Xenopus tropicalis: one gene and its partner. The protein of the gene in region 1 interacts with the protein of each later gene in a biochemical or structural test. Links are inferred from orthologs where the notes say so. Each region holds a gene or a part of one and is shown on either strand. Other genes may lie near its edges.

Region 1 (17,694 bases):
TAATTATGATAAAGTGATACTCTTATATCAACCTGTTGTTTTATATGTGCTGCTAAACTATGTTAAATATTATATAATAATAAGTAAAGTTCCAGGGTAGCCATTGCAGTCACTGGTGGTGGGTCTTTAGAGAGCATTTGGAAGGAAGGGGAGAGTCTGATGGCTGGAGAGTTCCAGAGAATGAAGTGATGAGAGGAGAAGCAAGGCTAAGCAGTGTAGGTTGTATGATGGAGTGTATTTTATACTCTGATAGAATAAAAAAATAAAAGCAGCCCAATATTCTAATCCAACAAGTGCTGATGTAACTGGGATCCTGATTCCAACAGTTATTTAGATTTGTATCCTATAAATATTTAGGCAGGGCATAATATGTATAATATACACACATGTCAGGCTGAACAGAAAACCAGATGTTGGGTACAGAGAAGCTCAGCAGTGGGGTATGTGCATGTCAGACAGTAGGCGCCTGTAGCTGCCGATTCCTTACAATATTATGGGTCATTTCTTTAATTTGCCGATTAATGGATGAAGGCTGTAGTTGAGGAAAGACAAAAGCCCAGATTTCATCAGCTCCTCTTGGTGCTGACCCAAATGAAGGCACGTAAACCCTCTAGCCACCACCCGCAGGCCACCTTTGTGCCTGGCTGTTTATATTCCCGTTTCTGTTCGTAAACTCGTTCTCTTAAACCAATTTAGCAAAAACTAGGCTGAAGATGGATCTACTTCTGTCAGAACCAGTTAAAGGGTATCTATCACAATCAAATGATTTCCTTCCACTTTGCTTGGGGGCAAGTAGCCCCGCCAGAGCTCTATTATTGGAGGGTGATAGGTGCACTTTAAAATCATCAAAATGTATCAAATTCATGTACATCGGAAAGGTTCTTAGAATTATATATTGGTGGTACATAAAGCATGCTAGAAAAATAAAGAGCAGCGCAACCATATATCTGAACTTTTACCATATATATGTACCCTGCTTAGCTCCCTCATCCCACCCTAGCAAGTGCAAGTTTGAGCCTTTACCCCACCAGGTGCCAAGGGGTATTTTTAGCAGTGGCTGTGGCTGCAAACTCAGTTTGTCATGTCTTTTCCCTCTGCTCAGATATCTATGTCTGCATGGTCTCCTGCTCACACTGCGTGGCATCAGATGGGAAATACGTGGCTATAATTAGCACAACGGTGGAAACGGAAGATCCAGAGAAAGAGATTCAGCCGGCCCTGGAGCTACTGGAGCCTGTTGATCAAAAGTAAGCAGAGCCAGTGCTCCATGGCCATTTATTTGCTGGTAAAATGATACTGCCCCTGGAATACTGATATTAATCTGAGGGAAGTCACCCCACTCCCAGCCCAACGCTTATGTGTCCCTGGTTTTCTAAACAAGGCCACAACTACTTGTAGGGCGGGCAATAGAGATGAGAGTTGTTAGTAGTGCAGGAAGGTTGGGCTACGACTAAACAAAAAACTATAATTATGTGCTCATATGTATGCCCGCTGCTTGTCTCACTCACAGTAAGGGTTATGGGAGACAAGGAGCTGGTCTAATAATGAACCACTCGCATTGGGGTGCTGCTGTGCACCCCACAATAAACATATTTTGTAGAATTGCACCCCCCTTCTCCATATATAACTACACCCTAGGCCAGAGCAATTGCTGTCTACCCCTTGCTCTGGCCTTGGATTTAAAACCAGAGATTAAGGAAATGGTCCTTTATGTTCTGCAAATATGAAAATGGTCCTTTATGGTCTGCAAATATATAAAAAAAAACTACACAGGCAAGACTGAAGGGTGGGTTTTAAAATGTAATTGTATCTTATATATCAATTTACACAATCTTTTGGACACAATGTACTGTGACTTTAAGCCTGGGCCACACAAGGGCTTAGTCCTCTTATGGCTAAATGTGTCTTGCGTTGGCGAAACTATGTATTTCATGCTTCTCCGAGGGCGGTTTTGTTTTGCAACACTAATGGGGGCAGCGTGTTCTGCAGAATTTCCCTGGAATGCAGGAAGTGGCGTCAGAGGGACTCTCTATTCCTGGTACTGGAATGAGCTGTTAAAGGCAGGCGAGACATTTCTGTGAGCTAAACGCCACAGTATTGCATGCAGGGGAAGGAGTGCATGTTACTATAGAGTGGCTTGCAAAAGTATTCGGCCCCCTTGAACTTTTCCACATTTTGTCACATTACAGCCACAAACATGAATCAATTTTATTGGAATTCCACGTGAAAGACCAATACAAAGTGGTGTACACGTGAGAAGTGGAACGAAAATCATGGATGATTCCAAACATTTTTTACAAATAAATAACTGCAAAGTGGGGTGTGCGTAATTATTCAGCCCCTTTTGGTTTGAGTGCAGTCAGTTGCCCATAGACATTGCCTGATGAGTGCTAATGACTAAATAGAGTGCACCTGTGTGTAATCTAATGTCAGTACAAATACAGCTGCTCTGTGACGGCCTCAGAGGTTGTCTAAGGGAATATTGGGAGCAACAACACCATGAAGTCCAAAGAACACACCAGACAGATCAGGGATAAAGTTATTGAGAAATTTAAAGCAGGCCCCTTGTAAATCCAAGGGGTTGGTTTGGAAGCACAGAAACACAGTTTTACTCCAAGCAGAGCCTCCTGCAGGCCAGCCCACATGGCGCTACCAAATAGCCAATCACAGCCCTTATTTGGCACCCCCAAAGAACTTTTTGATGCTCGCGTGGCTCACCAACACTTTTTATATCTGTATGTGGCTAATAAGTTAAAAAGGTTGGGGATCGCTGCTCTACATCATACTAAAAATTAAGTTAAAGGTAAACCACCCCCTTAATATGCTCTTTTATGCCCTCGTCAGCTGATTATGATATTTCTGCTTTATCACAAACCATGGAATGTTGTATTATACAAGATGTTTGTCTTGCAGTAATGATAAGGCAGTACCTTGTACCTGATGGTAACTTCACTGCTTGACAGGCAAATTCGAGGCAATTCTATTCATTTTTTGAAAGTTGACTTGGCGAATTCAATCAATTCAACTTCAAATTTGAATTGGCGCAAAGGCACTGTGCTCCACTTTACAGAAATGACGTTTAGGGATCATTTACGGATGGAATTCCATGCAGGTACAAACTTCAGCAAGCACTGGACCCAGGCCCAGACTGGTAACCTATTTATTGGGCTGGTGGGGGGCTCTTTGGGCCTCTGTGTACTTGAAATGCCAGGGACTATTTTGAAATCCCAGTCTGGGGCTGCACAGAAGCATGGCATTATGAATATGAACCCTGCTAGTGCTTTTTTTTTAGCCCAAAGATGCTCTAGTTAATGTTTTGGGACTAAAAAGTCTCAGTAGTTCAAATGAATTTATAAGCATGCCCAAAGTAGAGCTTCCACATTTGCATGCTATTCACATTTTCCATGCTGAATGATCTCCAAGCACTGGAAAACTAAGGATCATGGGAGTTGTAGTTAATACCAACTATATGTTTAAATCCCAGCAATGTGATTGGCTTTGTGTCTGTAGGCCTTAATAATTGCATTTGCTAATAGTTTACTCATATTTTACAGATTTGTGTCCATAAATGATCAATTTATTCCAAAGCACGACGGGACAAAAAATCAGGTGAGATCACAGAGCTGGACATTTAGCTAAAGTGGTTGGTTGCTCAGGTTGGTTCAGAGCCCTAATGTTTTAAAGCAAAACTGACCAGTGTCAGCGATTTAGGTAAGGGGTGTGGGATAATAGGCATTATGTACAAATAAATAACAAGTAAATTACAAGTAAATAACCCCAAATGGCTTTTTTTCCCAGAGGTGTACAGTTTAAATGTCTTATATTTATAACATTATTCAATATATATTCTTATAATACACCAGAGCCATGAATATAAATGTAAATGATATCCATATAAATGGTATTTAGTGATGTCATCAGTTATAATCTATGCTTAGTGATGTAATTTCTATCACATGACTCACTTAAACTTGTGTATCATAATAAAGTACCCTGTTGTAAATATGAGAAAATCAGAAGTGACCTTGAAGTTCTATAACCCTTATAAAAACACTCAGCTTTTGGCCTTGTGCTTTGATATCATCATGGAACTCCTCTGTGACTTAGAATATCCTTATATTTTACAATATGGGGTACTATATTAAATATTTAAACAATACTTAGTGATGTAATTTTTGTCACATGATTCACTACAACTTGTGTATTATAATAATGTATAATAATATAATTCTGACAGCCATTTGAATCTCCTGTGGACCCAGTTCCCAATGGAGGTGATCATGTTGGAGTGGGTGGCAGCAGCAGCAGTGCTGGGTGGATGGGTGAGGGAAGCAGTGGGGGGATGAGGGTACAAGCAGTGTGGGGGGAGGGTTCGAGCAGGGGTGAGAGGGCCCTGCACAACATTTAAATTCAGCCTTGACTTGTGGTCTGAATGTTACATAACTTACAACTCTCAGCATTAGAGAATGTGTTGGTCACAGGCCACAGTGGGGCAAACTTCCTGCTAAAGCCCTCCCCATGGCTGAGTAACGTTATGATTAAAGTTACAACTGTGTACCTTGTTAGCATCTCTCTTATAGCTGGATGATTTTCACCAGTATCTGGAGATTGAGAAGCTAGTAGTCTTGGGGAAAGTGGAGGTGTTGGCAATAAGAAGTAGGACCTGCATTAAATTTTGCACCAGGGTCAGCGACCCTCTAGCTATACCGAGTTTACCAGAGGTTGAATAACAAAGCGATGCAAGAAAGGTCAACTCACTATGGGGATTAGAGTCTAACTAGCCAGGGTATCGGGATAACCCTCAGTAACTGACTATGGCTGCTGTTTTCCTGCAGATTTTTATCTCCAGATCATATGATGCCACCACGCACTTTGAGACAACGTGTGATGACATTAAGGACATGTTTAAAAGAATGACAGGTGCTACCTTGGACTTCAGTGACATGTGGAGTTCTGACAACTCAGATTTCCAAGAATGATTTTATTACTTCTTTTTTTTTTATATAAAATAATTTGACTTTGCTTATGTTCTTTAACATTGCCTTTATTCTGTCATGTTATGTATCTGGCGTCTGCCTATTTCCTCTTGTGCAACTTAATTGTTTCAGTTATGTTTAATGTTGGACTATTTTGGACTTTTGATTAAGGCATCCCTTTGATGTCCAACATTTGGTCAGGACCACCCTTTGCTCATAGTAAAGTTATATATATACAGTGCTGTATCAGCCTTTCTGCCATAATTCCACGAATATCTAGGACAGCAAACAAGCCTGTATCCTAAATCTTACACTAATTAACCTTGAAACTGAAGTATCTACCAAATCTCACCCTAAGACTTCAGGCTTAGCCTTGTTAGCCACTGTTCTGGACCCATTTAGAGAGGCAGCACCAAAGTTTGGGAACCATTGGCTTCTCTAGAGCAGTTAAAAAAAAGGTTGGGGACCCCTGCTCTAGAGTCTACTGCAACATCTAAACCAGTGCTTCTAAGACGAGTTGACTCTTTGTTCCTCGTATTTGCCTCCTAAACGAATATTTTTTACAAACTTTTTACAGTCATCCTGGAACCATGCTATAGTCTAATATTGATTTTCCCAATAAAAATATTTTTCTCCCACCGTTAATATGATTTAGCCATCTCCATCTCTGGAAAATCTTGTGACAAGAAAAATGGAAGATGTGGCAAGTAACGCCATGCTAATTGGACACATGTAAAACTGGTCTGAAAGCAATGGATCAGACAGGTCGGGACAAACCAAGAACCTTAACCTGAAGATAATTGTGAGGTAGAATATAAGTAGGAGGCAATCCAAGAGTCACTTACAAGTAGGCTATAAAATGAAGACATACTGAAGACAGTGCCGTGTATTCAGTAATTGAGCAACTTCTAACTGTGTCTGTGTCTAATGGAATCCATGGTTTCAGGACTTGGACTCTAGAACGCCTTGTCTCTGTGTCTAACGGCATCCATGGCTTCAGAAGTTGGATTCTAGAACCCCTTGTCTCTGTGTCTAATGGCATCCATGGCTTCAGGAGTTGGATTCTAGAACCCCTTGTCTCTGTGTCTAATGGCATCCATGGCTTCAGGACTTGGATTCTAGAACCCCTTGTCTTAAAAGAGTGTACACACAGAGCTAGTGCACCCAATGTACAGTGCTTGCTATTCAAAAGGCACTTCGCTTTCTGCTTAAATAAAGTTTAGAGTGATCCTGGGTTTTTATATTCTGTTAAAATATAGACACGCCTTTTCCAAATGTCCCTTTTACTGCACCTGTTGCTAAACCACAGCTCAGTGTTATTTACAATACGAAAAGGTTTATCCAGCACCATCAGCTCAAAATGCACCTCGAAATGTTAACAATATCGCTACTCATTTCTCCAGATCTTTAGCTGGTCATACTGAGATAAATTCACTTATTTGGCAGTCATCAAATGAGCTGATATTTACCCAATTTGGCCAACCTTGTGGTGGGTAGCCTATAAGATCAAGTGGGAGATTAGGCATGAGATCCAGTGTCAGAGGACATGCCTATACCTAGAAGGTCCTTGTCTAACTGGATTTTCAAGCCTACTCGATAGGTCAGGCAGGCTGATTGGCGGGAGCCATACATGAGCCAATAAGCTGCCAATTTGGTCTGGAGGGGTTTGAGATGGCAGCTTTAATCAGCCCCTAGTTTGAAGACCTGAGGCTCACTTATCAATGTTGGAGCAATGTACAAAAACAAGGTACAAGTGCTCTGTGTATGAGTTCTACGGGGTGCAAAGTTTCCTGGCGCACTGCAAAAAATAAATAATTCTATGCATCGTCTTACTTGCCCTTTAAAAAATGTGGCTATACATATTGTCCTGTTTTTTTTATTACAGGGCAAGATGAGGTAGCATTCCTGGTCATTGCAACTCTTTCAATTCTTTTCATGTGGTTTAGATAGTGGTGCATGTGGTCAGTGATCTGGAGTTGTGACTTAGTTCAGATCTGGCCTAATCAGAAATCTTGATCTATTAATTTCCTGTGGTTTGTGTGGTTAAAGAGTGACTGCCTACTAGACCTGAGCTCTACATTTATGCAAAGAAACTGAGGATCTGAAGGAACTGGCAGCTTCACTCCTCAATAAGTATAAGCCATATTGCAACTCAGAGGTGCAGGTGTGAGCTGAGAAAATAGAAATTAGTTCTAAAAAACTGAGAGCTAACTGGCAGAGGGTATGGTGGGCAACCAACACGGAAGAAAAGTTGTTTTTTATTCTGACAGCAATAGGAGGTGCGAGTCGATGAAAGACAAATTATCATGAGGCAGTAGCGCTATTGCGACTCGCCAGCAGCTTTCGACAATGTAACGCAGAGTTACGCCAACTCGCCCCTCCCACAAGGCGGCTGCGTGATGCGTCACAGCGCGTACGTGTAGTGGTGACGCCAGTCTCGCGTGATGAGACTTGAGGCGTTAGGAGTCTGTGTGAGGCAGGAGGCTGCACTTACAGTTTTGCGGGAGGTGTAAGTAGCGATGCGGGACTGCGGGCGGTGTGAGGGAATGCGGGACTGGGGGGCAGTATGAAAGCGGTGTAGGGGAGACAACATGCAGGCACCCTAGCAAGCGCCCTCTCCGGGTATGCAGCTCACTGACAGCAAGGGGCCCGGTAATTCAATAAGTGCAGCACAGCCGGGCCCCCCCTTAAACCCCAAAAGCCCACCCCGCCCGGGACCACTGTCCCTCCCCCCCGCCTTGATGGCGGCCCTCCGTGCTGCTGGGATGGCGGAGTCTGTACGTGAAGCTGCAGTAGGGCAAATGGCCATCAGTGATGTGTTACTGAGCTGACAGGAGCCTGTCTATACATTTGTACTGGAGTGACAGGGCACCGGGGATTACTGAATTCACTGTTAGCGGGGGCCAGAGGGCTTGGAATTGCAAAGCAAATGGCAGTTAGTGAAGTTTCCTAGGGGCTACACAGAGTGGCATGTGTATGGGGCATGTTACCAGGATGCCATGTGTATGGGACATGTTACCAGGATGCCATGTGTATGGGGCATGTTACCAGGATGCCATGTGTATGGGGCATGTTACCAGGATGCCATGTGTATGGGACATGTTACCAGGATGCCATGTGTGTGGGACATGTTACCAGGATGCCATGTGTGTGGGACATGTTACCAGGATGCTATGTGTGTGGGACATGTTACCAGGATGCCATGTGTGTGGGACATGTTACCAGGATGCCATGTGTGTGGGACATGTTACCAGGATGCCATGTGTGTTGGACATGTTACCAGGATGCCATGTGTGTGGGACATGTTACCAGGATGCCATGTGTGTTGGACATGTTACCCGGATGCCATGTGTGTGGGACATGTTACCAGGATGCCATGTGTGTGGGACATGTTACCCGGATGCCATGTGTGTGGGACATGTTACCCGGATGCCATGTGTGTGGGACATGTTACCCGGATGCCATGTGTGTGGGACATGTTACCAGGATGCCATGTGTGTGGGACATGTTACCAGGATGCCATGTGTGTGGGACATGTTACCAGGATGCCATGTGTGTGGGACATGTTACCAGGATGCCATGTGTGTGGGACATGTTACCAGGATGCCATGTGTGTGGGACATGTTACCAGGATGCCATGTGTATGGGACATGTTACCAGGATGCCATGTGTATGGGACATGTTACCAGGATGGCATAGAAAGTGGGATGGTTTCTGCCTCACTGCACCCTGTTTTGGGTAAGAAGGAAGCAGTTACTATGGTACCTGGGTTGGTAAGGTCAATATGGGCAGCAAAAGATGTAGTGTGACACTGCGGAGTATGTTGCTGACACACAGGGCTGACAGTTAGTGATAGCATGCCGATTGGCTGATGATGGCTGATGATGGTAAGTAATACCGGGGTATCAGGGCAGAAATTTATACGGAACCTGCCAATGGTAACTGAGGTGAGATGGGAACACTTGCTTGAGATGTGGCTGCAGCAGGTACAAGGGAGAACCATCATGGATGCAGTATGTGAGGGCTGGAAATGGCATGGGATTGTGGGACCTATAGACAATCAGTGCTTAAACCACCTGGTAATATGGAAATATAAGCTGCAACAACATTTTGGAATTGGGTGCTCTCCCTGTGTATGAAAATAGCTTTACATTGTGGTGGTGCGACTCCCTGACGTAGGGCCACGTCAGTCACAATGTCACCTGGCGCAGGGAGTTGTGTACCCCCCAAAACGTTGTTTTCATTTGGTATGGTACGGTTAAACTAACACAGCCATGAATATAGGTGTGTGTTTGGGCCCCTTTATCAACATGGTAATATAGTCAGGATAAGTAAATAAGAGACTTTGTGAGCTAAGAAAAAATCAGAGGGTGGCAGGGCAGGGAGAAAGAGGTGGCCTGTGGGGGACAAATCAAAAAATTAAAGTTTGTGTTGGTCCCCATCTACACAGGTATACAGTATTTTCCAGCAATGGTGGGTTAGAGTAGACAGGTCTGTGAGGAAAGAGTGCTAGCATTAGCACAAACAGTGGAGTTTAAGGGATAGGGATGCAAGGGGTCAGCCTGGGACAGAGTGTGCCATGTATTGTTTGTTAGAGATATACTAGTGTTTCTTGTTACTCTGAAAGAATGGTGTTGTGTTACTTTGGGGAATCGTGTATTCTGTCTATCCCACCCCCTGCAACATAGTCACTCTTTTCACACTGGCTGAAGGAGCAGTTTACCTTAAAGTGACATTTTAGCAGGGTACTGACACTGGTATTCTTAAACCTTGCAATCAGCCTGCATTTGGTTGTTTTGAATTATTTATTCATCTTGTTTTGTAGCACCTGGGCTTGGACTATAAAACTGCTGTCTTTTTGCCAGGACTTTATAACCTTAGTGCAATATGAATAGAAAAGGTGTGGTAAGCAAGGAAAAATAAAATAAAATAATACTTTGTCTAAACTCAAAGTCATTTTTTTGGTGTTGTTGCTGGGGTCAGTGGCCCTGACAAACAGACAGCATTTTTTAGTCACAGGTCGGAAGTAGATAGAATAGGAATGCTAATAATAATTTTATTTAGACCAATTGGAGTGATGTTGAAGAAGCTGGACCAGGGTTGCATCTGTAGCTGGGAGGGAGTTTTTTGCAGGGATATGTTATGCCAACCCCCCTATTGGTATGTGAGATGGTTGTCGAGCCCAAGAGTAGAAGTCCAATATATTTGTGATGGTGCTTTGCCATTGGGCACTTGTAGAGAGCCAACAAGAACCATCGGATGCAGAAGTTCCCTTTGGAAATGATCCCTTCTTTGATACTATTTGATACACTTTCTGTGTAGAAATGTTCACTGTAAGGACCTGCTGCTTTTCTGCTCTTGTTGAGTAAAATATCTCTCCTGGGAGTTGTAGTAAAGTAATTAAAGGGCACATAAATCTTGTTACACAGATTTTGGTGCAATGGGTGCATAAGGAGAAAACCATGCACTTAACATTAAAGAACTGCATGGAACTATATAAGCTTGCTACAGATATTCCCACTGGCTTGTTCTTCTGGTTCTCAAAATTTTGCAGCCACAAGAGAACTACAGCTCCCAGAATGCTGTGTGCTATGCTTGTTCTTCCAAAATAGCAGACCTGGACAGGACAGGATAGCAGTGAGTGGGCCAGAAGGGAGTCAGAGATAAATATTTTTCCAGCTGCCACAGCTTATTGCGCACAGAGGATTTGTGTTGTTCTTTCAGGCCGCACAGCCTTGTTTGGATCAAAGCCTCTTGTATTTGTACAAAGAAAGCTATAAATGATTCATTATGGCAAAGATGTAGCTCTAAGATTTAACTCGCTTTATTTTCTTTGTGTGCCCTATGTTGGGGCATTATAAATACATGTTAATTCTAATTATATATCATGTGCATGGGCATAATGTGCATATCTTGTCCTCCAGGGTGACCCTTCTCAATGAAAGAATATTGGGTTGGACTGATTCGTTGGGCCAATTGGATGTATAATGTATGATTAAAGGTAAAGGGAAGGTTTTATCACTGGGGGGGGGGGGGGGGGGGATGCCACTCCCCAGTGATTGCAATTGATTGATTCTTTTTAAATCTGTTGGCTACTTTTTATTTTTCAATTTGAATTCAAGTGTTTTTTAATTCTGAAAAACATATTTATTGTTTTTATTCTTTATACAGTGTCGGACACTATATTCGTCAACATATTCTTCAGCCCCTGTCCAACTGGAGCTTACAATCTAATGTGCTTGTCACATTCATGCGCACTAGGGCCAGTTTTACCAAATTAACCTGTCTGCATGCTTTTGTAATATGGGAGGAAACTGGAGTAACTGGTGAAAACCCACACAGGCATGGGATGACTCCCAGTGAATCGCTGTTTTAATTTCCCATGGATGCTGCCTTTTTCTCTGGTGGACAGATAAGGAGGAGTTCATTTATAAGGGTTTTACCAGATAAAAATAATTTAATTTATTACAAATTTCCCAGGTGTGCTGTGAAAAAACCAAGGAAATGTTTTTTTTCTGTACTTTTTAGTGCAAGAAATAACTAAGGTGTATGAATGCATGTCCAACACAAGCCCTATATAGTGAACTCATGGGGAACAAGGGTATATTGCTCTGCTAATTTCAGTAAAACCTATGAAATATTCTTCAATACAATTTACAATACCATTTGTTTGCCTAAATTTTCCTTTCCATTTTGTTCCAGGATGCTGAAGCCACAGATGGCTACAAGACAAAAGCTAAGTGTCCTGCAGTAAAGGAGAAAGCACATATTTGGCTGCTTTCCATCCCCCATTCCTTTGGGCTGCTTTAAACCCCCCATGGTAAAATGTCTGTAGACATGAACAGTCAAGGATCAGACAGCAATGAGGACTATGACCCTAACTGTGAGGATGAGGAGGAGGAAGAAGATGATGATCCAGGAGACATTGAGGATTATTACGTTGGGGTTGCGAACGATGTCGAGCAACAGGGGGCTGACTCATTTGATCCAGAGGAGTATCAGTTTACCTGTCTCACCTACAGAGAATCAGAGAGTGCACTGAATGAACAAATGGCAAATCTGTCCTCCATGTTAAAGGTGAGCTGTGCACAGACATATTACTGCCTCATTATACATTTAGAAAACAGTGCATGCTTATTATGCCTTTTTGGGGTAAAAGAGTCATGCCGGGGTTATCCAGTCAACTAGACTATAGGCCAATTAGTCAGATATTATGGATGTTTGAATAGCACTGAATTGCTTGGTTTCATTGAAACATGGACAGGGCATCTGCAGACCAGGGAAATGACAGAGGCCACACCTTTCTTCAACACATCCAGGCTAATGGGGGAACAAGCAATTCAATGCTATTCCAGCAGCAGAATTGATTTTCCGGCTGGAGAGATTAATTTAAAATCCAGTGGGGTTACTGTGACCTTTTGGGGGACCAGTATTTGCTTTGCTTGTTAGGCAGAGAGGCTAAAAAAGCCTCATAACCTGATTATATTGTTGTGTGTATAGCCGCATTAAAGGCAAAGTTTCACCTATACCCTAAGTCAGTGCTGTCCACACAGGTAGCATAGGGCAGGCAGATTATGGCACACACAGGCAGCATAGTGCAGGCATAGTTTGGCACACAAAGGCAGCATAAGTCATGCTGAGTATGGCACACAGACTGTGTAGGGCGGGCAGAGCATGGCATACACAGGCAGCAAATGTAAATGGTAAATGGGAGCCTTCCGTAGAAATAGGGATCCTTTCTCTTTAAAGGGCAATGAACCACACTGGGGTTGCCATGTTTAGTTCCAGTGCAAGTTAAAATGGTTACCTGTATTTCTTAGTTTTGTCATTCAATGACAAGGAAAACCAATTTGTTGAGCAAACGTTGTGACTCTAATCGCTTACATCTAACCCCAGCCAGTATTCGCCTTTAAATTTTACACAGGCCTGGGGTAGTTTTCTGTAAGACAAACCATCACTGGCTTACCCCAGCTTCCCAGGCATTCCCTTTGCCTCTTTAGACCTGACGCATGTACAGTAAGGATGCCTCACTTTTGCTTAGTCATTCAGATTCTAACTCATACTTATCCAGTCATTTTTACTTTATTGGGCTTTATAGCTCTTGAAACTGAGCTGTCTGAGTGTTCTCCTGAGTCTGGGACTGTTATCAGTTGAGATAAGTGATTATTCTTTTAGCTTATAGCCTCATTGCGCTGTGACTGGCATGTACTGTATGAATGCTGTGTGCATTTGGCTGCCGTGCTGGTTAATGGATATGATACTTTACTTTGGTATGAGTAGAATTTATAACTGCCAGGCAGGACATGGCACATCACACACGGCAAGCTGTTGGACTTGATGATGACTGTGGTGCTAGTCAGTGACATCGTTACCTGCTTGCTAGGGTTCTACTTATCTTAGCAACCAGGCAACAGATAAGTAGAACCCTAGCAAGCAGGTAACCTTATAAAATTGAGGGAAAGAAAAAAGTAATTATTCACAAAACCACAATGTAATGTTTTTTGTTTTTCAATATCTAGCCCTGCATCCTATTAATTTTAAGGTGAGCATCCCTTTTTAACATCCCACAGCAAGAAAGGCACAACCCTAATAGCAAAAGACACACACACGCACCAGAATACAGCAACAAATATATTGTACTATGCAAAATGAGATACCAGCATCTGCCTCCCCAGCCCTCACTGAGGCATCCAACAATCACAGCTCTGCTGCATGTCTACAAAGCCCCCTTCCGTAGTCACCAAGCATAGCCAAAACTGGGACACATCAGTCTGTAATAGTTAACAGGCGCTTTGCCCATACCCATCCTTCTTCCCTTCTCGTCCATTCTGTCACATGATAATCCTTTGGGTGGTTAAGGCTGATGGCACACAAGCCATTTGTCACATTAGTGCATTGCAGCTGGCAGAGAAGCACCCAAAAGCCTAATTTTTGTTTTTTCTGACATTACAGCAAGTTTGTGCTGTGCAGCCTGTGGCTAATCTCTTGGTCAGCCTATATCACTTTTTTTTACATAATAGTTCTACATAGCTGTGAATAATCCTATTGGAGAAAAATAAACTTTGGTTAAATTTTTTCCTTGAAAGGAAGACGTACAGTGGTGTGAAAAACTATTTGCCCCCTTCCTGATTTCTTATTCTTTTGCATGTTTGTCACACAAAATGTTTCTGATCATCAAACACATTTAACTGTTAGTCAAAGATAACACAAGTAAACACAAAATGCAGTTTTTAAATGAGGGTTTTTATTATTTAGGGAGAAAAAAAATCCAAACCTACATGGCCCTGTGTGAAAAAGTAATTGCCCCCTGAACCTAATAACTGGTTGGGCCACCCTTAGCAGCAATAACTGCAATCAAGCGTTTGCGATAACTTGCAACGAGTCTTTTACAGCGCTCTGGAGGAATTTTGGCCCACTCATCTTTGCAGAATTGTTGTAATTCAGCTTTATTTGAGGGTTTTCTAGCATGAACCGCCTTTTTAAGGTCATGCCACAACATCTCAATAGGATTCAGGTCAGGACTTTGACTAGGCCACTCCAAAGTCTTCATTTTGTTTTTCTTCAGCCATTCAGAGGTGGATTTGCTGGTGTGTTTTGGGTCATTGTCCTGCTGCAGCACCCAAGATCGCTTCAGCTTGAGTTGACGAACAGATGGCCGGACATTCTCCTTCAGGATTTTTTGGTAGACAGTAGAATTCATGGTTCCATCTATCACAGCAAGCCTTCCTGGTCCTGAAGCAGCAAAACAACCCCAGACCATCACACTACCACCACCATATTTTACTGTTGGTATGATGTTCTTTTTCTGAAATGCTGTGTTACTTCTACGCCAGATGTAACGGGACACGCACCTTCCAAAAAGTTCAACTTTTGTCTCGTCGGTCTACAAGGTATTTTCCCAAAAGTCTTGGCAATCATTGAGATGTTTTTTAGCAAAATTGAGACGAGCCATAATGTTCTTTTTGCTTAAAAGTGGTTTGCGCCTTGGAAATCTGCCATGCAGGCCGTTTTTGCCCAGTCTCTTTCTTATGGTGGAGTCGTGAACACTGACCTTAATTGAGGCAAGTGAGGCCTGCAGTTCTTCAGATGTTGTCCTGGGGTCTTTTGTGGCCTCTCGGATGAGTTGTCTCTGCGCTCTTGGGGTAATTTTGTTCGGCCGGCCACTCCTGGGAAGGTTCACCACTGTTCCATGTTTTTGCCATTTGTGGATAATGGCTCTCACTGTGGTTCGCTGGAGTCCCAAAGCTTTAGAAATGGCTTTATAACCTTTACCAGACTGATAGATCTCAATTACTTTTGTTCTCATTTGTTCCTGAATTTCTTTGGATCTTGGCATGATGTCTAGCTTTTGAGGTGCTTTTGGTCTACTTCTCTGTGTCAGGTAGCTCCTATTTAAGTGATTTCTTAATTTAAACAGGTGTGGCAGTAATCAGGCCTGGGGGTGACTACAGAAATTGATATTGAAATTGAAAATTGAAATTGATAAACCACAGTTAAGTTATTTTTTAACAAGGGGGGCAATAACTTTTTCACACAGGGCCATGTAGATTTGGAGTTTTTTTTCTCCCTTAATAACGTAAACCTTCATTTAAAAGCTGCATTTTGTGTTCAATTATGTTATCTTTGACTAATAGTTAACGGTTTTTGATGAGCAGAAACATTTAAGTGTGACAAACATGCAAAAGAATAAGAAATCAGGAAGGGGGCAAATAGTTTTTCACACCACTGTAGTTCCAAGATTTTATTGCAACTGGAAGCAGTATTTGTCTCTCCCTTTCTGCACTGTTGTTTCTGACTCTTGAAATATTGTAGCATAAGTCCAGCCTCGTTTCTGTTTTCACAGCTGCATGCAACGTTGCTGTTACAATGTTTCTGTAGTTAGAGCCAGCAGTGCAGAGAATACCAAGGGGTAGACAGATACTTAATTCAGTAAAAATTCAATTTACAAAAAAATATAAAGCCATTGAAAACTTATATAATAATAAATGTATACTGGAAAGGTGCTTAGAAAGTTTCTGAACCCTATACCATTTTTTTTCTCTTCCAAGAACCAATACACGTTTTTCCATTGCATTGGTCCCATAATAATCCCTTTATTGATCAGCTGGTGCGGATATGAGGATGTTGACGCTGCTCTTTGCCATCTATTTTGTGCAAGTAATTAGTACTATATCTGGCCCCACGAGTGTGTGGGCTGGAAAGAGATCCGTGATAGAGTGCAAGCTCAGCATTATTATAAGGGCCTGTGTGGAGGAGGGTAGCTGTCGGCTGAAGCTGCAGCCTTGACTTACAATCCCTTTACAAATGTTTTCTATATCAGGTGTCATTTACTATTTTTTTTTTTTATATAATTTTTATTATGAATCTGTATCTAAACCCTGTTATTGCTTAAAGGGGAAGTTGTACCTGCAAAATGTCCTATTACGGTCGTCTTATGCTAGTTATCTTCCCAGGGATATTAGGCTAGTGCCACAGAGAACTGATTCTCAGCAAGCCAAGACCCAGCTGATTCTCTGGCCTTCACCCACTCCTGTGTCTGCACCCAGGCCAGTGCAGAGGCATGAAGTATATTTTGGAGTGAAAATTTCTACTTTTGCATTTCCACACTGAAATCCGCTCCGTGTTTCTGCACCCAGGCCAACGAGAACTGAGACAGGAGCGAGCTGAAGCCAGCGGATCTCCTAATTCTCTGCAGTCCAAGAATCAGCCCTGTGTCCATGTCCATCTGGCCTTCCAGGCCGTATGCCCTGGCTTCCTGTAATGGTATTAGAACACAGTAGCTGGCCAGTAGGACGTGATAAGTATTACAGGCAGCAGCCAACATGAGATACAATATTGGGAATGATGTGCTAAATAAATGTGTTGCACTGTAGAAATAAAATAAAATAAGAATAATAGTGGGAGCCTAGGTGAGGCTGTCATTGTAATAAAGTAAAACATTTCTTGTACAGGTGGGGTTTTTCGGATAAGGGATCTTTCCGTTATTTGGATCTCCATACCTTAAGTCCACTAAAAGATTATTTAAACATTAAATAAACCCAATAGCCTTGTTTTGCTTCCAATAAGGATCAATTATATCTTAGTTGGGATCAAGTACAGGTACTGTTTTATTATTACAGAGAAAAGGGAATCATTTAACCATGAAATAAACCCAATAGGGCTGTTCTGCCCCCAATAAGGGGTAATTATATCTTAGTTGGGATCAAGTACAGGTACTGTTTTATTATTACAGAGAAAAGGGAATCATTTAACCATTAAATAAACCCAATAGGGCTGTTCTGCCCCCAATAAGGGGTAATTATATCTTAGTTGGGATCAAGTACAGGTACTGTTTTATTATTACAGAGAAAAGGGAATCATTTAACCATTAAATAAACCCAATAGGGCTGTTCTGCCCCCAATAAGGGGTAATTATGTCTTAGTTGCGATCAAGTACAGGTACTGTTTTATTATTACAGAGAAAAAGAAAATCATTTTTAAAAATTAGAATTATTTGCTTATAATGTAGTAAATGGGGGATAGCTTTCCTGTAATTCGGAACTTTCTAGATAGCGGGTTTCCGGATAATGGATCCCATACCTGTACTTCTGTGCCTGTCCATGTGTCTGTGGGCATCTGCTGCAGTGTGTCCCCTATCTAAGTGTAAAACTATAAACTGAGCCAGTAACACCATAAAAGTGAAATTCTCTGGGGCATACCAGTTAGTTTGTTAGGCACC
Region 2 (16,141 bases), on another chromosome or scaffold:
GCAAAAAGCTGCCTCTGAATATTTGTCTTTTTTTAAAGGTAAATCCTGTTCTTCTAGTGCAGCAAGAGCTCTCCTTTGTTCTGGATTTAGTGGTTTTAAAGTTATTGGCAAACAGGGCTAGTGCTAGGGGCAAGTAGAAGAGGCACATGCCAAGGGTGCAGCGGTGAGAGGGCGCTAGGCATGTACCTCTTCTTTTTCCTGCCGCTAGTCCCAGGCCCTCTCCCCCACCGTCCACATGTAGGTCACCTCCCCAGTCTTCAGAGCCGCCAGCAAACAGGCAGTGCTCCTTGCCATCCCCCTGTGTATCTTCGCACTTGTGGAGACTGGGTGAGGAGGTCAGCCGGGGTTGCCTGGGGCATCCGGCTCGCTTGGCCCGGCACTGTAGTCAAATGTAATTTTGAAAGTAATATTTGTGTTTCCCTTGCTATTTTCTGCATTGCTGATTTGGACAAGTGCAAGTAGCAGAAGCCTGTTAACAGATTTGTTATTACATTTACTTTCATTAGTCTAAATTTTTGGATTTACATCCCCTCTAAAGGGGAAATACAATGCATCTCTCAAATAGTATAAGGCCGAGCTGCCCAACTGTGGGCTGGATGTGGTCCTTCAAAGGGTTTTTATGGCCCCCAGTTTGTGTAGAGGCTTTACTAGACTTTACTATATGGCATATCATCATTTTAATTCAGTCTGGCCTTCCATCATTCTGCATGACATATGATTGGCCCGCTACATACAATAAGTTGGACAGCACTGGTATAAGGTATAGGAAGCAAGATAGTATAGTATAGTTCAACCAACTCCCCAGTTTGCTGCTGAGGAACACATATGGACACTCTGTGGGAAACATACTGTTTGTTAGGATTAAGTGGGCAGATGCATCTAGCAAATCTACATGCTGCAGGGCTGCACTCTCACACACTGCAGAGATTTGCTATATTCTCTGCAACACTATTGTATGCATCTAAATCTTTTTTCTGTGTGTGTTCTTTAAAGGGATCTATTGACAGGTTTGTAATTATGTCAGGTACTCAGTCCAAGACTGCAGTGTCTCTGCAATGCTCATCAGGGTACGCTGCACCTAGTAGCCAGCCTGTAGCCTTTACATTGTACTGGCCCTTTTGTCTATATAGGTATTCAGTGTGTAATATCTCCTGTCCTGCCGCAGTTCTCTTCTTCATGTAGGAGTCATGTTAGGGGTTGTGCTGTGCATAGAAATAAACTGAATAGTGTGAACAGATCAAAGTGTAATGATGAAACTGGCCACAAGAGGTCTCAGATGCAAAAGAGATTCAGAGCGATCAATTGTGCAATGCAGAATTTAAGATTTATGAGGCTTCAGAGGTTAACATCAACATAGGAAAAAACCTTAGAGATTGAGCCGTGATAGCATAATAACTGAACTAGAGATTGTGTATGCAGTGCTAGGATTAGAACTAGACATTATAGGCAGGATATATATGTTGTGTCTGCAGCCTTCAGGGTGTACTGGCTACAGCTACCAGTATCCTTAGTTGGCTATTACAGTCATTTTTGTTCATACGTTCCTCTCTATATCATCAGTTTAGTTCAAACAACAGCAGCTATGTGCTACCTGCAGACAGCTCGGATAGCAGAAGGTTCCTATTCCAAGGACGCTGTGCTCACTACATTCCCCTTTTTGCAACTTTAGTGCCACAGTCTGTGTGATAGCTATGGGATATGTTGGTATTTTATAAATACATGTTAAAGGGGAACTCAAGCTTCCAAACAAAAATTTGTTAAAGAATCCCACACAACACAGAATCCTTAATATACCTAGCACTGTAATCTGTTCCTTCAAAAAGTATACATTTTTTTTTTTCATATGCATCATTTAAAATCCTGGCAGGGATGTAGGGACTAAAACAATGATGTTACAAATTGTAATAATTTCTCCACACCAATCATCACAGCTCTACACAACCAAAGACAGATTTCAGTTCCCTATCAGGTCAGCCTGGCTGCTGATTGGTTCCTATCCTACAGAGCAGTGTGCTGAGTGCCGCGGGCCCCCTGCACAGCCTGGGAAAGGAGGCAGAGTGGAACAGATGGGTGGGACTAGGGGACTAGTACAGTTTTTGTGGAGTTTTTCAGTATATCCCTGCACCAAACCTTTTCCTGTAATATATAGCCATATAGCCACACAGCCAGGCCTGGAATTTAAAAAAAAAAAAAGCCCCTTTTTTTTTCTTTGTTGTAATTACTTTTATACACTTTAATTTTTTGGTGTTACTGTTCCTTTAAGTACTCAAAGGTCATAACGGCCCCCAGCATCCTATTTACTAGTGACTGCCTATGGCATCTTACAGCAGCCCCTCTGTATATAGTGTAATAGTATCTTACCTACAAGTGGCATTAGGTTAAATCATGTCATTCTCTATAAACAATACTGTGTACTGTCAAGGAGACAAGAAGAGTTTTTGAGCCACTCATAGTCTGGAAAGCATCCCAGTTTGTGAGGTAACCATTGCAGTTATTTTCCCTAGAAGCAGCTTATTCATGTAAAACAGAGCAGTAATAGAGGCATAGGGCAGGGACCCTCTATCCTTGCCACAGACTGTCAGCAAATTGCAAAAGGGCTCAGAGATGTACCCTGATTAATTTGTATTAATATTTTTGGGGGTTTAGATCCCCTTTAATGTAAATGTCCTCTGCCACAAGGAAAGTCAGCCATTCTGTACTGAGCGCACTTAATTAGTTAAGTCCTCTTGGCACATGAAACATTATTTATCATGTAAATCAGCTGATGTAGTTATACATTAACAGAGAGATGAAAGAGGCATATTCAGAGGGTGGCTAACCTTGGGGACAGGCTAGAGAATAGGTTCTTTAGTAAGGAAACGGCTTTAATAAACTAGCATATTGTTCCCTTCAGGCACATGCCTCTCTAGAAATGTCCATTCAAGGAATCATTTTATAATTAAATATGTAGGTTTTTTTACCCTTTGAAAACTTTCCACAGTATTGCAGATCGCCAGACCATAATAACCGAAGCAGCATGACAGATGTCTTTTTAGATGACAGGTTCCTGGGTATGTGTCAAAGTGAAGTCAGACAATAGAACAAGGCAAGTTCAGCCAATGCAACAAGTTAGGGCAGGAATTTATTTCAGTTAGGTCTATCTAATGGTCATGGGGAATGTTTTCCAGGGGAGGAACCTGCCAGTAAGAGCAAGTGCAATGTGTCCATATTCTGTGTATGACTATCTCTACACACACATTAACCTGATCTGACTATAAATTAAAAGTATATATATATATATATATATACAGTGGTGTGAAAAACTATTTGCCCCCTTCCTGATTTCTTATTCTTTTGCATGTTTGTCACACTTAAATGTTTCTGCTCATCAAAAACCGTTAACTATTAGTCAAAGATAACATAATTGAACACAAAATGCAGTTTTTAAATGAAGGTTTACGTTATTAAGGGAGAAAAAAAACTCCAAATCTACATGGCCCTGTGTGAAAAAGTTATTGCCCCCCTTGTTAAAAAATAACTTAACTGTGGTTTATCAATTTCAATTTTCAATTTCAATATCAATTTCTGTAGTCACCCCCAGGCCTGATTACTGCCACACCTGTTTCAATCAAGAAATCACTTAAATAGGAGCTACCTGACACAGAGAAGTAGACCAAAAGCACCTCAAAAGCTAGACATCATGCCAAGATCCAAAGAAATTCAGGAACAAATGAGAACAAAAGTAATTGAGATCTATCAGTCTGGTAAAGGTTATAAAGCCATTTCTAAAGCTTTGGGACTCCAGCGAACCACAGTGAGAGCCATTATCCACAAATGGCAAAAACATGGAACAGTGGTGAACCTTCCCAGGACTGGCCGGCCAACCAAAATTACCCCAAGAGCGCAGAGACAACTCATCCGAGAGGCCCCAAAAGACCCCAGGACAACATCTAAAGAACTGCAGGCCTCACTTGTCTCAATTAAGGTCAGTGTTCACGACTCCACCATAAGAAAGAGACTGGGCAAAAACGGCCTGCATGGCAGATTTCCAAGGCGCAAACCACTTTTAAGCAAAAAGAACATTATGGCTCGTCTCAATTTTGCTAAAAAACATCTCAATGATTGCCAAGACTTTTGAGAAAATACCTTGTGGACCGACGAGACAAAAGTTGAACTTTTTGGAAGGTGCGTGTCCCGTTACATCTGGCGTAAAAGTAACACAGCATTTCAGAAAAAGAACATCATACCAACAGTAAAATATGGTGGTGGTAGTGTGATGGTCTGGGGTTGTTTTGCTGCTTCAGGACCTGGAAGGCTTGCTGTGATAGATGGAACCATGAATTCTACTGTCTACCAAAAAATCCTGAAGGAGAATGTCCGGCCATCTGTTCGTCAACTCAAGCTGAAGCGATCTTGGGTGCTGCAGCAGGACAATGACCCAAAACACACCAGCAAATCCACCTCTGAATGGCTGAAGAAAAACAAAATGAAGACTTTGGAGTGGCCTAGTCAAAGTCCTGACCTGAATCCTATTGAGATGTTGTGGCATGACCTTAAAAAGGCGGTTCATGCTAGAAAACCCTCAAATAAAGCTTAATTACAACAATTCTGCAAAGATGAGTGGGCCAAAATTCCTCCAGAGCGCTGTAAAAGACTCGTTGCAAGTTATCGCAAACGCTTGATTGCAGTTATTGCTGCTAAGGGTGGCCCAACCAGTTATTAGGTTCAGGGGGCAATTACTTTTTCACACAGGGCCATGTAGGTTTGGATTTTTTTTCTCCCTAAATAATAAAAACCCTCATTTAAAAACTGCATTTTGTGTTTACTTGTGTTATCTTTGACTAATAGTTAAATGTGTTTGATGATCAGAAACATTTTGTGTGACAAACATGCAAAAGAATAAGAAATCAGGAAGGGGGCAAATAGTTTTTCACACCACTGTATATATATATATATCTGTACAACTTCTTTGCTGCTTTGCTCTGTGATTGTCTTTGTTAAACTGACCATAACTTTATTTATAATCATTAAGAACAATTCCAGCAGTTTCTCATTTTCTATCCTGTTCCCCACAAAGTTTTTAATAAATGGACAGTATGAAAGATATAACCCAGGGTACAGTAGTTGTCTCCATTCATTTTGGCCTATGACCTACTTCACTGTTGTCATGTAAAATATGATTCACAAGCCTATGTAATACCACATAGATGGCAACACAGGCTAGTCGTGCAGTCTATAAAAAACAGTATATTTCTATTGAGAGCTCGGAGCTGATAAAATTACATAGGATTTAATAGAGTAAATTAAGGTTTATGCAGACTAATATGTGCTTTTATAAGAAGGGCACTTTGGTAAAGGGCCCTGAGAAATATCATTCTCCTTAGAAAGTATGGAAATGTACTGTTCCAGTGTTATTTCTGTAATGCCTAGTGAAGGTAAAGACCTTGTATTTACAAAGGTCCTAAACACACACACACACATTGGTTGTAGAAAGTTAGAAACACAGTATCCTACTTTATACCTACCTGGATTGCATACTATTCGTTGCAACCTCTCTAGCACAGAGATTTTGTGATTCAATTTGAGATCATGGTATAGAGCCTAGAAAAGAAGCATCTAACAGTGCCACAAGATCTGGCATTCTTTGGTGCCAGGTTTCTTACCAAATCAATCGTCACTTAGCTAAGTTTTGAGTACTTTATGGCTATTTCCTAAAGAAGCATCTTAGTATACTTGAAATACATTGCCGAGGCACACATGCAATCCTCTATGTCAGTGCTGTCGAATGTCTGTAGTATCAAGGGCTGGAATTTTTTTGGCCTACTTGGTGGAGGGCCAATAATGGGAGCTAGTTTTGACCACTCCCCTTTTTAAATCACATCCACTTAAAACCACACCCATCTTATCACAAGAGCTTTTAAGACCATATGTTTGTGAAGATTCTCATTCATCCAGGTCATTTTAAGACCATACCAACATTAATCGTGATAGTGCAGCAAAAACCCAGCAGCGTATAGCACAGGCAGAGTATGGCGCACACAGGCAGGATAGGACAGGCAATACATACAGGGACACAATGCTGGCACGGCTCCTACAGTCGGTCTGATGTGTGAACAGGTGGAAAATGTGGGCACTTACAGTCTGAGCCAGAGTTGTGAACAATGCAGAGGGGCCAGTTAATCTCAGTACACACGTGTGTGCGCGCCTGTGGTGTAAAGAGGTTTTCACAGGGCTGGAGTGTGAGGGTTTAATGTAATATCCAGAACACAGCTTCCTCCTTTCACATCTCTCTCAGATTTGAAGGGGGCTGTGTAAAAGGTTTTCACAGGGCTGGAGTGTGAATATTTAGAGTAATAGCCAGAACACAGCTTCCTCCTTTCACATCTCTCTCAGACACACACACACACACACAGGTATATCTATCATGCTGTGTAAGAAGTGGAGTAAAACATTACCGGTGATGTTGCTCATAGCAGCCAATTACATGCTTTGCTTTTCCAACTGTTGAAATCTAATTGCTGATTTGTTGTCCTGGGCAACATCACCGTTAATGCTTCACTCCACTTTTTGCACAGCATAATAAATATACCCCTTAGACTGATATAACCTCACACATGTCAACTGTATTTGGGTACCATGCATTGAAATGTGAGTGGATTTCTTGCTTGTAGATTCCCACCTCTAACCTTTATTTTAGTTGGTTATTGTACCATAATGTGGCAGAATAAAATGTACACCATTTTCTTTATTTTGGCGTTTGGATGTTTGTTTAAAAGGCCATCTATTTGCTGACCCAATTTTATAATGCAGAAGAGAATTTACACATTACAGTTTCAGCCATATCCCCATTTAAGATGGAAAGCCAGACACCTTTGACAGGTCAACGCAAGACCATTGTTTATTTTCTATCTTTAGTAACATTGCAGCCATCAAAAGAAAGATAATTCTAAGAAACAGATGGAAGACATTTCTACAGTGTTACTAAGCAGGTTGGGTCCCCAGGGTCTTGGAGTGTAGCTATTTCATCCAATAAATTAGAAAGCATGGCCAATAAAGTGCAGTTATTTCTGTGCTGGAATGAGGTCATCGATGGACTCTCCTTTTTCCAGGCATTTTTCCATTTCAACAAGGAGTTTTACACCATCAACCACCATTTGGACCAGTTCAACCTCAGAGAAACCCAGACGATCAGCATTGGAGATATCAAACACCCCACCAACGGCTGCAGTGTCTACACCACCTGAGAGAGAAAAAAAAATCAAAGTTGAAAACTTTGTGCCAATGAAAGATGTAAAAAAACAGCAGCTGGTAGCAGGACAGAAAGTGTAACAAGAGTGCTGGTTTTTAAAAGTCATTAATACAGGCTACAATTTTTGCATATCATATGCATTCTCTAGGAATCTGTTACTATCAAAGAGTTCTGTACAAACCAATAGCTTCGTAAAATGTATTACTGGCAAATATTCCTAACAGAAAGTGTCATAAGGCATCCCTCCCTCAGCCAATTTTGTGCTATGTTTTTGCCCCTGGATAGCCAAGATGTGCTATCCAGGAGTAGCTTTAGCCTGATGGCAGGCAACATTAAGGTGCATTTGCTTCTGTTTCTATAGCTAGCAGCCTACATAAGGATGCTGGGAGTTTGGGTGCCTTGTCCTGAAGCACTGAAAATCTGCATGTGTAAAAAAGCTTTTATCAAGTCCAGCCAAACCCAAGTCTACTTGCACACAAGTTACCTGTTCCTCTCTTCTGTAGTCTAAGTCTCTTCAGGATTTCACCAAACTTCTCATTCTTGCTTAAGTTTGGCAACTTAATGTGAACACCAGCCCTCAGACCAGTACCGAGGTTGGATGGGCAGGTAAGAACATAACCAAGATGCTGGTTCCACATGAATGCAGATCCTTTGTTCTTGAAGATAGCTTCAATCTGAGGGAGGAGAATAAGTTAGATTTTAGGAGGAGACCAAAAAACCCTAAGAATTTAGAATTTATTACGTGTAATTGGGTCAAAAGGTAGAAGAATCATAGTAAAAAATGAATACTAAAACAGTGTTATTTGCTAAAGGATGGATTGGTAAGCACTTAAGACACCAGATTTTCTAACACGCACATTGTTATGTGAATGGTCTGCATCGCTAATGAAGCGAATGAATGGGCACATTATTCCAGATCGGATATGCAAATGCTTGCAGAAGAGACAGTGATATGAACATTTTCTGGGTCTATGTTTATACTGAAGTCACACTATATCACCAGATTTATCCGGTTAGCTATTCTAACAATGCTTATCCTTTCTTTAAACACTTACTATAGAGTTCAAAACTATCTCTGGAAGCAAACCCCCAAACATCTCACTCCAGTAACATTGCTGGTTTTCATGGATAACCACACAATGCACAAGCTATAGCTTTGTGTAGTGACAAGCAACAGTTTGGGTGATCATGTGTGCTTCAGCATCAGACACTAACAGATGAATCTGTTTATAATATGCTGCTTATCTGATTGTGTAATACTATAAAGTTTGGCAGAGGATGAAAGCAGACTTAAGGTGGCCATACTCTGGCCAACGACTTGTCCCTCCAGACTGAAATCATTAAACTGCTGAATTGATCTGGCAGGTTTCAAGATCCAATCAGTCCTCATCCTAAAGGCATCCATAGGCTCAACAAATGGATTAAAATAGCACAGAGTTAATCTCCTACAAGAATGCCAACATTGCAGCAAGTCAATTCCCTGCCTGCAGAAGACAGCTGTAGTAGGTATGTATGACAGGATAGCCCTTACACTATTCCCACAGAGGGTTGGGAGGACCAACCTCATATTAAACATGTAGTTCACCTACCACCCATTTCAGGTCATTTTTAAAACAGTGTCCTAGAAATTGCTATTAGTTTAAGATTAAGTTAAAAAAAACGTTCTGCTGGTAGCAAGCACTATGCTGCCTGCACCGGAAGAAAGCTCCTGATGTGGGTGGCCATGTTTGATCACAGGAATTTATTCATCTGCATGTTTTGTTGCAGCATGGTCATCTGCACTTGCTACCAGGTTTTTTTTGTTGCAGAAAATTAGTATTATTTTCCCCAACCGAAACACAGGCTCAATTAGCCCGCACCTCCTACACATGATAAATGCCCTTAATGGTTACACATACAGCTAATTGCACAGGCTGGGGATGGGGGATAAAGCAGAACTGCCTCTTACCTTTGTAAGGCCAGTGCAAAACCTCTGGAACACATCCTTCATGTTGCCACCCTTTTGCATTGAGATCACACGAAGATGGTCTTCCTCATTGATCCAGACAAGGAAGGTCTTGTTGTCGTTGTGCCTTGATTTAAGCAAATGTAGGTTTTATCTTTGAGGTGCTAGTATCATGGAAGTTATTCTATGAGAGCGAGTGGTAAAAATCAGATGGGTAAAGGCTGCCATAGCATTACATAGATGCTGACAGATGGGATTCATTTTCAGTGTACATATTACTTACTTCCTGGCTTGCTTTAGCGACTGCAAAAAATGCAATCTCTGCATTAAACAGCTGACACAAGTTATAGCTCAATGTGGACTTGAGGTGGTGTGTCATGGAGGTACTAATACTACTCTGCATATCAAACTTGGGATTCCAGTGAGCTATAGATTTGTTCTGCTACTCCCGGAACACTCCATAAAAATCATGAGAAGGTATTTCATTACTAGTCCTTAAGATTCAGATGTTCCTAATTGAGGAGCCTGACAGCAATACTAAATTACTGTGAAACACTAGTGCAGAGCAAGCAACGCATGCAAGCTATGGCTTTAAATCAGCATAAACAAAGCAAAACCGCCTGTTTTAGAGAGGCACTTACAATCTCAGGCATCTGTATATAAACCACAGTACAAATTAGAGGACATACCAGATTCCTCTGGCATCAGGCCAGTCACGGGCCATTCCAGAGGCCAAGAGGAGTGGAGAAACTGGCTTATCAAACAGGAAGTGGTCATCGATAAGCTGCTGCTGCTCCTGATCAGTCATGGTATTAAGAGCGTAGTATTTTCCTTTTAGGTCCCCATCCAAGCTAGCAAGTGCTGGAAACACAATAACATAAAATGGTGATTTTCCCCACAGATGAAAGGTAAAGGTTATAAATTACAAGTTTAAACAAAAGCACAATTTCTCTGCCTTCTAATAGCCTCAATACTGACTTTCATAATCCATATGATCTCAGATTAATAAGTGGTTGTACGCAAGCCAGAAATGGCATTGTGCTCCTTCTATCTTTGACCCATTTCCCATATAAGTGCAGCATATACCATTAGCCCTCAGGGACATAACCATATACAGACTGATTCATAATGAGCGAATGACTTCCTTAAAAGGTTCCAACAGTTAAGAATCTGCATGCATCATTAATGTGGTCAAACATGAACTGAGCCGGAGGGCTGGAGGTTGCACTTCCACATCTGTAGGGGTTACAGTAGAGCAACTAAAGGGCCACCTCCTGACCAATATTCCACCAAAAGGGGGTAATAGATGATCAGCATCCAATGACACTGCTGAAGAGACACAGACCAAAGTGCTCTGCAAAGTGATTACTACAAAAGTTGCATTTAGGTACCTTCAATTGACATCTTTTCAATTGCACGCCTTTCTCCACGGCTGCAGTGAGGTGGGAGGCTGAATCCACGAATACTCCTTCCAGTTCTGACCCGAGAGCTGAGTACATAGTTTGGGTCCAGATCATCACCTCCCTGGTTAAGAAACCATTTGGTAAGTGAGCTTTAGCATGCCAATAGCTTATTTAAAACCTCTGAATAAAGTATCCACTAAAACCCAAACATGCAACTCCTCCCTGCCTCTCCCCCACTCCCTCCCCAAATGAATATCACCCAACATATCATACCTTTAGGTTTTCTGAATTTATGTCAGTCTTGTGCTGATCTGTTGGCTTGTAGCCACCATGTCTGTCCTCAATGATAGGGTCAAAGAGCTCCTTAAAGACTTCATAAGATTCTTCATCCCCAGCGACACATCCCACTGTCATAATAAAGGGATGGCCTACACACAGTACAAGGACAGTCAGAACCAGGAGGTGCATGCATGGTTATTAGGCAAGTACTTACATTTCTCAAGTTTTTCCCCTCAGTGAGAATCTTTTAACAGTCACATGAAAAATTGCATGCAAGTTAGCAGGGCCCTCTTTATGTCCTGTTATTTGTATATAGCTTATGTATTGATGTATAACCCATTGTATAGCTCTGCAGCAGGTTATGCTTTATAACTATATAATACCTAAAAGGACATCTGCTTTTCACTACACTGGAAAGTAGACTTTTGCAGTTTGCTTGCAAAGAGTTGGCAATAGAGTCGGCAAGGAAAGTCTTCCCCCAGCTACTGCAGAGTCCCATGTATATGTAAGTGAACATCCCATCATGCCCTCACAACACTGCTCTGTAGGAGAGCAGCTTCCCTACTAAAGCAAATCACTTTATAAATGCACATAAGCATGCAGGTTACAAGATATTTGGAGCATGTAAGGGACCCTTTACTAGAGACATGCAGTGGAACACATTAATTTCAGTTGAGCATGTTAAATGCAAATCAACAAATCCACCACAACAGTTAGCGTTACTTTCTAAGCTTCAAACACTAGACCTGCAAACTTAGAGTCTAGGAAAATGCATTCTCTCAGTTTTGGTGCATTTTTTAAAATGTTTTACCAGGATTGTCAACCCCAGTCTGAATGACATCATCCAGGGTGAATCCACTGGAAGTCATCCTGCTCCTCAGTTTCTTGTACATATCCACAGTAAGCACCTTAGCCATGTGGTTGTTGTGTTTGCTCAGATCAGGGTATTCTTCCTCAAGGGACAACCTCTTAATAATTGGTTGCGCCATACTGATATTGCTAGAGTGAAGATAAATACTACACATATTAGAATCTGCTCCCCCTTGTCAAAAGAAGTGCTGTGGCAGTGAGAGACCATTAATCATAAAAAATTGTTACAATACAATAAAGAGCCTTCTATATTCTGCCTATCAGACCCATTGCCTTTGAAAAGACCAGGATAACCCCCTTCGGTGCAACAGCCAGAGCACTTCCAGTAATGAGGGAGAACAGATGGCAAAGTGGATGAAGAGCTTCCATCTTTTTACCTGGGTTGTCAACCCCAGTTTGAATGACATCATCCACGGTAAATCCACTAGGTGTCTGTTTATCCCTCAGTTTCGCGTAGAGATCCTTTGTCAGCACCTTGGCCATATGATTGTTGTGGGCAGACAAGTCTGGGAACTCCTCATCCACAGAGTTCTTCAGCTTCAAGGTGTTGTGAGAGTTACCGAAAGGCATGATTGCACTAGACTGGAAAAGGACGGGGTGGAAGAAACAGGTAAAGGCCTTTGCCCTAAACAGCAGTATATGACCTTCAGATCTACGACCTTAAGAAATCAGGCATTTGGTTTAAAAAAAAAAAAAAAAAAAATTTTTAATGCACAAAGCCCTGGAGCCTTCAGTCATATATATACACCCAACATGAGGCCTCTTTGCATTCTGTGAATTGTAACATAAAAGCTAAAGTATTTTTGGTATTTGCTGTAGAGCAAACAAGAGGGAAACTAGAAAAAAAACCTGTTTCTAGTATGTATTTGGTGCAGGGTTTGCACGCATAATCACACAGGTTCCGGGACTGGGCTACCATTGCAGCTAGCCACCATATCTTCAGTCTTGACCTCTAGGTTGTGCTCTACAAGAACATGCCACATAACAGCACAGTTTATATAAAATTCCCTTCTCAGCTACTAGCATCAGTAATAACTGTGGCATCAAAATGGTAATTTAAAACTACAGAACGGTGATGCCAAAACCAAGCATTTGAACAATGCAGCCTGACCAAACTGGCCATGAGCCCACTGGCTGCACCATTTGCTTCAGGGCAGCCACTAGGGGGCCCACTTGCACTTGGCCTTGAAGTCAATTAACCCTCTTCAAGTCTCCTTCAACTGACAAACCATGCAGGATCTATTACTATGTTCAATTCTAGATTCTATTTATGTTATTAAACCCTAATAAACTATGCAAATACATGTTATCCAATTTACATAAACAACAGCCTTCCTGAATTTGGAAATACAACTCCTACCCCCACCCCTTAAAAATGTAAACGAGGAGTTTGTATGTCTAATGTGCTGTATTTAGCAGTTCCCAAGATTTGATTCTTCCATTTGCACATATAACACACATTTCCTTTGGCTGATGAGTAATGAGCCCAGTGGGCCCCACATGCTTGCACACAGACCCAACAGCCTGCACCCACACAGACTGGGCAAGTCATGTAGGCAATATATTCTACAGGAGGCAATTTAAAAAGAATCTAGAAAAAGCAGAAAAAAGTGGGCTTCATGGTTTAAGCTAGTGGTGTGAGGAGCCCAAAGGTTGAATGAAAGCTCATTATCCACTGGAGAAAAAAAATGTGATAGTTCAGAGATGTCCAACAGCTCTTGCTGAAATACAACTCCCATCATCCTCAGCCAGCCAAAGAATTTGTAGTTACTAGATGAGGGGATATGCCCGAATTATACAATATAGCTTACCATTATATTGATATATATGCCCTTTGTGCTGCCCCCCGGGGCCAATGTGCTGCTGGGGTCCCAGTTCTAGCGGGCTAGTGTCCATGGATTAAGGGAATGACTATAGAATGAAGCTGCCATAAGGCAGAGCCAGTACATAGGATTGTGCCCAGCGAACACCGCAACGCCCTGCGGGCAACGTGGGACGTGACACTTCCCAAGGACACGCTCCTTGCGCCCCGCAATCTCTGCGCCACACTGACGCACAACTCACCATCTGCTCACATTATAACCCTCCCTCCCCCAGCCCGGTACCGACCCAGAACCACAGCGTTCCAAATGAGAAACGTCGATGCCATTGTGCAGATCCCATATCTGAGAATTGCACTGCACTGAGCGCTTTGTGGTTGGATAGTCCCGCAAGGATTGCCATACAAACTATTCTGTTTATCTGTAACACAGTTTCCCTCTAACCCCCATTGCCCCAAACACCACAACTGCAGCGGCTTACCTTAGTCTTGCTTAATTGGAAACCGCAAACTGGAGACCCTAACCTCTCCTCAGGACCAACACTTGCCCCAGACCTGAAGGGATGTGTGAGAGAAAAGATTCCCCTCGCCCTTATATAGTGAGCCCAGCCTGCCTCGCCATTGGCTGATATTTATATTCCATTCATTGGATTGGAGCATTGGCAAAGGGAAGAACCAGCGCAACCTCTGATCAATCAATAGGCATCCATTTTCCTAAAGCCTTGGCTACACTGAGTGGAGTACTGCGGATGGACACGCTGCCATAGGCTCCGTCTGTTCTCTGCAAATTAACGCGCTGCTACAGCCATTCCGTCAGTACAGGGGCCCCATAAGGGGCAAATCTCTGGCAGTGCAAAGCATTATAGCTGGATTCAGCAGCCATTCATGAATTGTATAGCCCATAACATATGTTATATGCAGTCAACTGTAATAGAAAAAGGGCCGAGATGACACGTTAGCTGCTGCAATTTATTTGCCTTTTCTCTTTCTAACAGAGAATTTAAATCGCTGAAATATTTAGAAGCGTTCGGTGTCTGCCCTGGTCTGTTTGTGCAATAAAATACTCCTCACAGGGCTGGGCTTCCCTTTCATTTAAAGGGGACTGTCATGCAAAACTAATAACGTTATTTGTTAAAGAAATGATATTTAAAGGACATGTTAACCCAAAGAACACTCAATTCTAAGCAACTTTGCAGTATACATTTATTGCAAATTTGTAATTGTTTTTGTTATTTGTATATATTATTGCTATTGAACGCAGTGTTAGTCTGTCCTTTTCTATTCCCTGCCCTTCTGACTTTTATAGCAATGTAATGCAAGACAAGAGGGCTGACAGACCTGCTTTGCTGGAGGAGACTGGCTTCTGCAACTTTGTTTAAAAAGTCATAACCAAGAGTTAAGCAAATGCTGCTTTCTACAGCAATTACATTTGCAAATAACTTTTAAAGCACTATAATTTTTTAAATAAATTCATATTGAAAAATTATGTTTTATTTTATTAGGAAAAAAATATTATTGTCTGGGTTGACCTGACCTTAAAGCTGTATCTTGCTGTTTATATTCTCTACTCTAGCAGCTCTGACTCCTGTAGCAATGTAACAGCTGCACTGTTTCAAGTGTCAGAACAAGAGAACAGAAAGGGATTGACAAATACTCCTTTCAATTGCATCTACTTTACAAGTAACTGTACAATAATTAAAAATGTTTAATGAATGTACATAGTACATATAGGTATAAGTCATCAAGTTCAACCTTTTTCATATAAATATAGATACTAGACAGGGGCAATTCAGCATCTAGTGCCAGCCTGAGATTGATTGATGCTGTCCCCCTTACTCCCCTGCACTTATCTTTTTTAGCACTAGAGTGGCTTGATGGGGCCACATTGCTAGCGTAAAGAGTGCATGTCTAGAAAATCCAGCTAGAAGGGCTGCACTGATTGCAATTAAATGCAACATGCATTTATTAGACATGTCACTGAAATTTAAAGGAGACATTTTGGATAAATGGTAAAAACCCTAATTTTGTAGGCAATTATGAATAATATATGGTGCTGGTGTTACTTTCAGCTAAAATTGAATACAGTCTGTAAAAATGGCACTTTATTGTAGCTCCCTATAGATCCTATCAGTTCTCGGTCCCTGTTTCAAATGAAGGGTGGGCGTGTCCTAACGGTCCCTGCCAGAAGCACAGTAGGAGGGGGAGAGCCAATCACAGCCTTTCACTCACACAAGCAAATACAGGCTTCAGTTCCCTATCAGGTCATAGCCTAGCTCAGGGCCGGATTTGTAATCCCGCCGCCCCAAGGCCCCCCCAGCGCATGCGCGAACGTGCGATTGGCAGCCCCCCCCCCAACGTGCATGCGTGGGGTGTAAACATTCGCATACGGAGCATTGGTCCCCACTGCTGTGATGGGTGAAAAAGCTTAAGATTGTGGTGCGGCATGCCGCCCCCAAATTAGTGCCGCCCAAGGCCCGGGCCTTTGTGGCCTCTCTGCAAATCCGGGCCTGGCCTAGCTGCTGATTGGTTCCTATCCTACAGTGCCATGTACTGAGAGCCGCCGGCTCCCCTGCACATCCAGAGAATTCAGCCTGCAG

Evidence for each region.
Region 2: of the proteins of arih2 (region 1) and ckb, one has a biochemical effect on the other in vitro, tested with the Homo sapiens proteins (2 studies listed by BioGRID). The link is inferred for Xenopus tropicalis from reciprocal best matches to the Homo sapiens genes ARIH2 and CKB.

What each region holds. Positions count from the first base shown.
Region 1 is NC_030680.2:136,617,724-136,635,417, reverse strand, and holds the start of arih2 (E3 ubiquitin-protein ligase ARIH2), read left to right. Parts: upstream 1-7,441; 5' UTR 7,442-7,485; intron 7,486-10,900; exon of another isoform or gene 10,901-10,977; intron 10,978-11,678; 5' UTR 11,679-11,801; coding exon 11,802-12,053; intron 12,054-17,694. Other genes in the region: rab GDP dissociation inhibitor beta, read left to right, coding at 1,103-1,247, 3,555-3,609, 4,836-4,979.
Region 2 is NC_030684.2:98,351,915-98,368,055, forward strand, and holds ckb (creatine kinase B-type), read right to left. Parts: upstream 14,135-16,141; 5' UTR 14,027-14,134; intron 12,308-14,026; exon of another isoform or gene 12,296-12,307; coding exon of another isoform or gene 12,103-12,295; intron 11,855-12,102; 5' UTR 11,845-11,854; coding exon 11,667-11,844; intron 11,005-11,666; coding exon 10,850-11,004; intron 10,698-10,849; coding exon 10,565-10,697; intron 10,035-10,564; coding exon 9,863-10,034; intron 9,301-9,862; coding exon 9,177-9,300; intron 7,903-9,176; coding exon 7,713-7,902; intron 7,220-7,712; coding exon 7,041-7,219; 3' UTR 6,849-7,040; downstream 1-6,848. UniProt on the Homo sapiens protein: Reversibly catalyzes the transfer of phosphate between ATP and various phosphogens (e.g. creatine phosphate).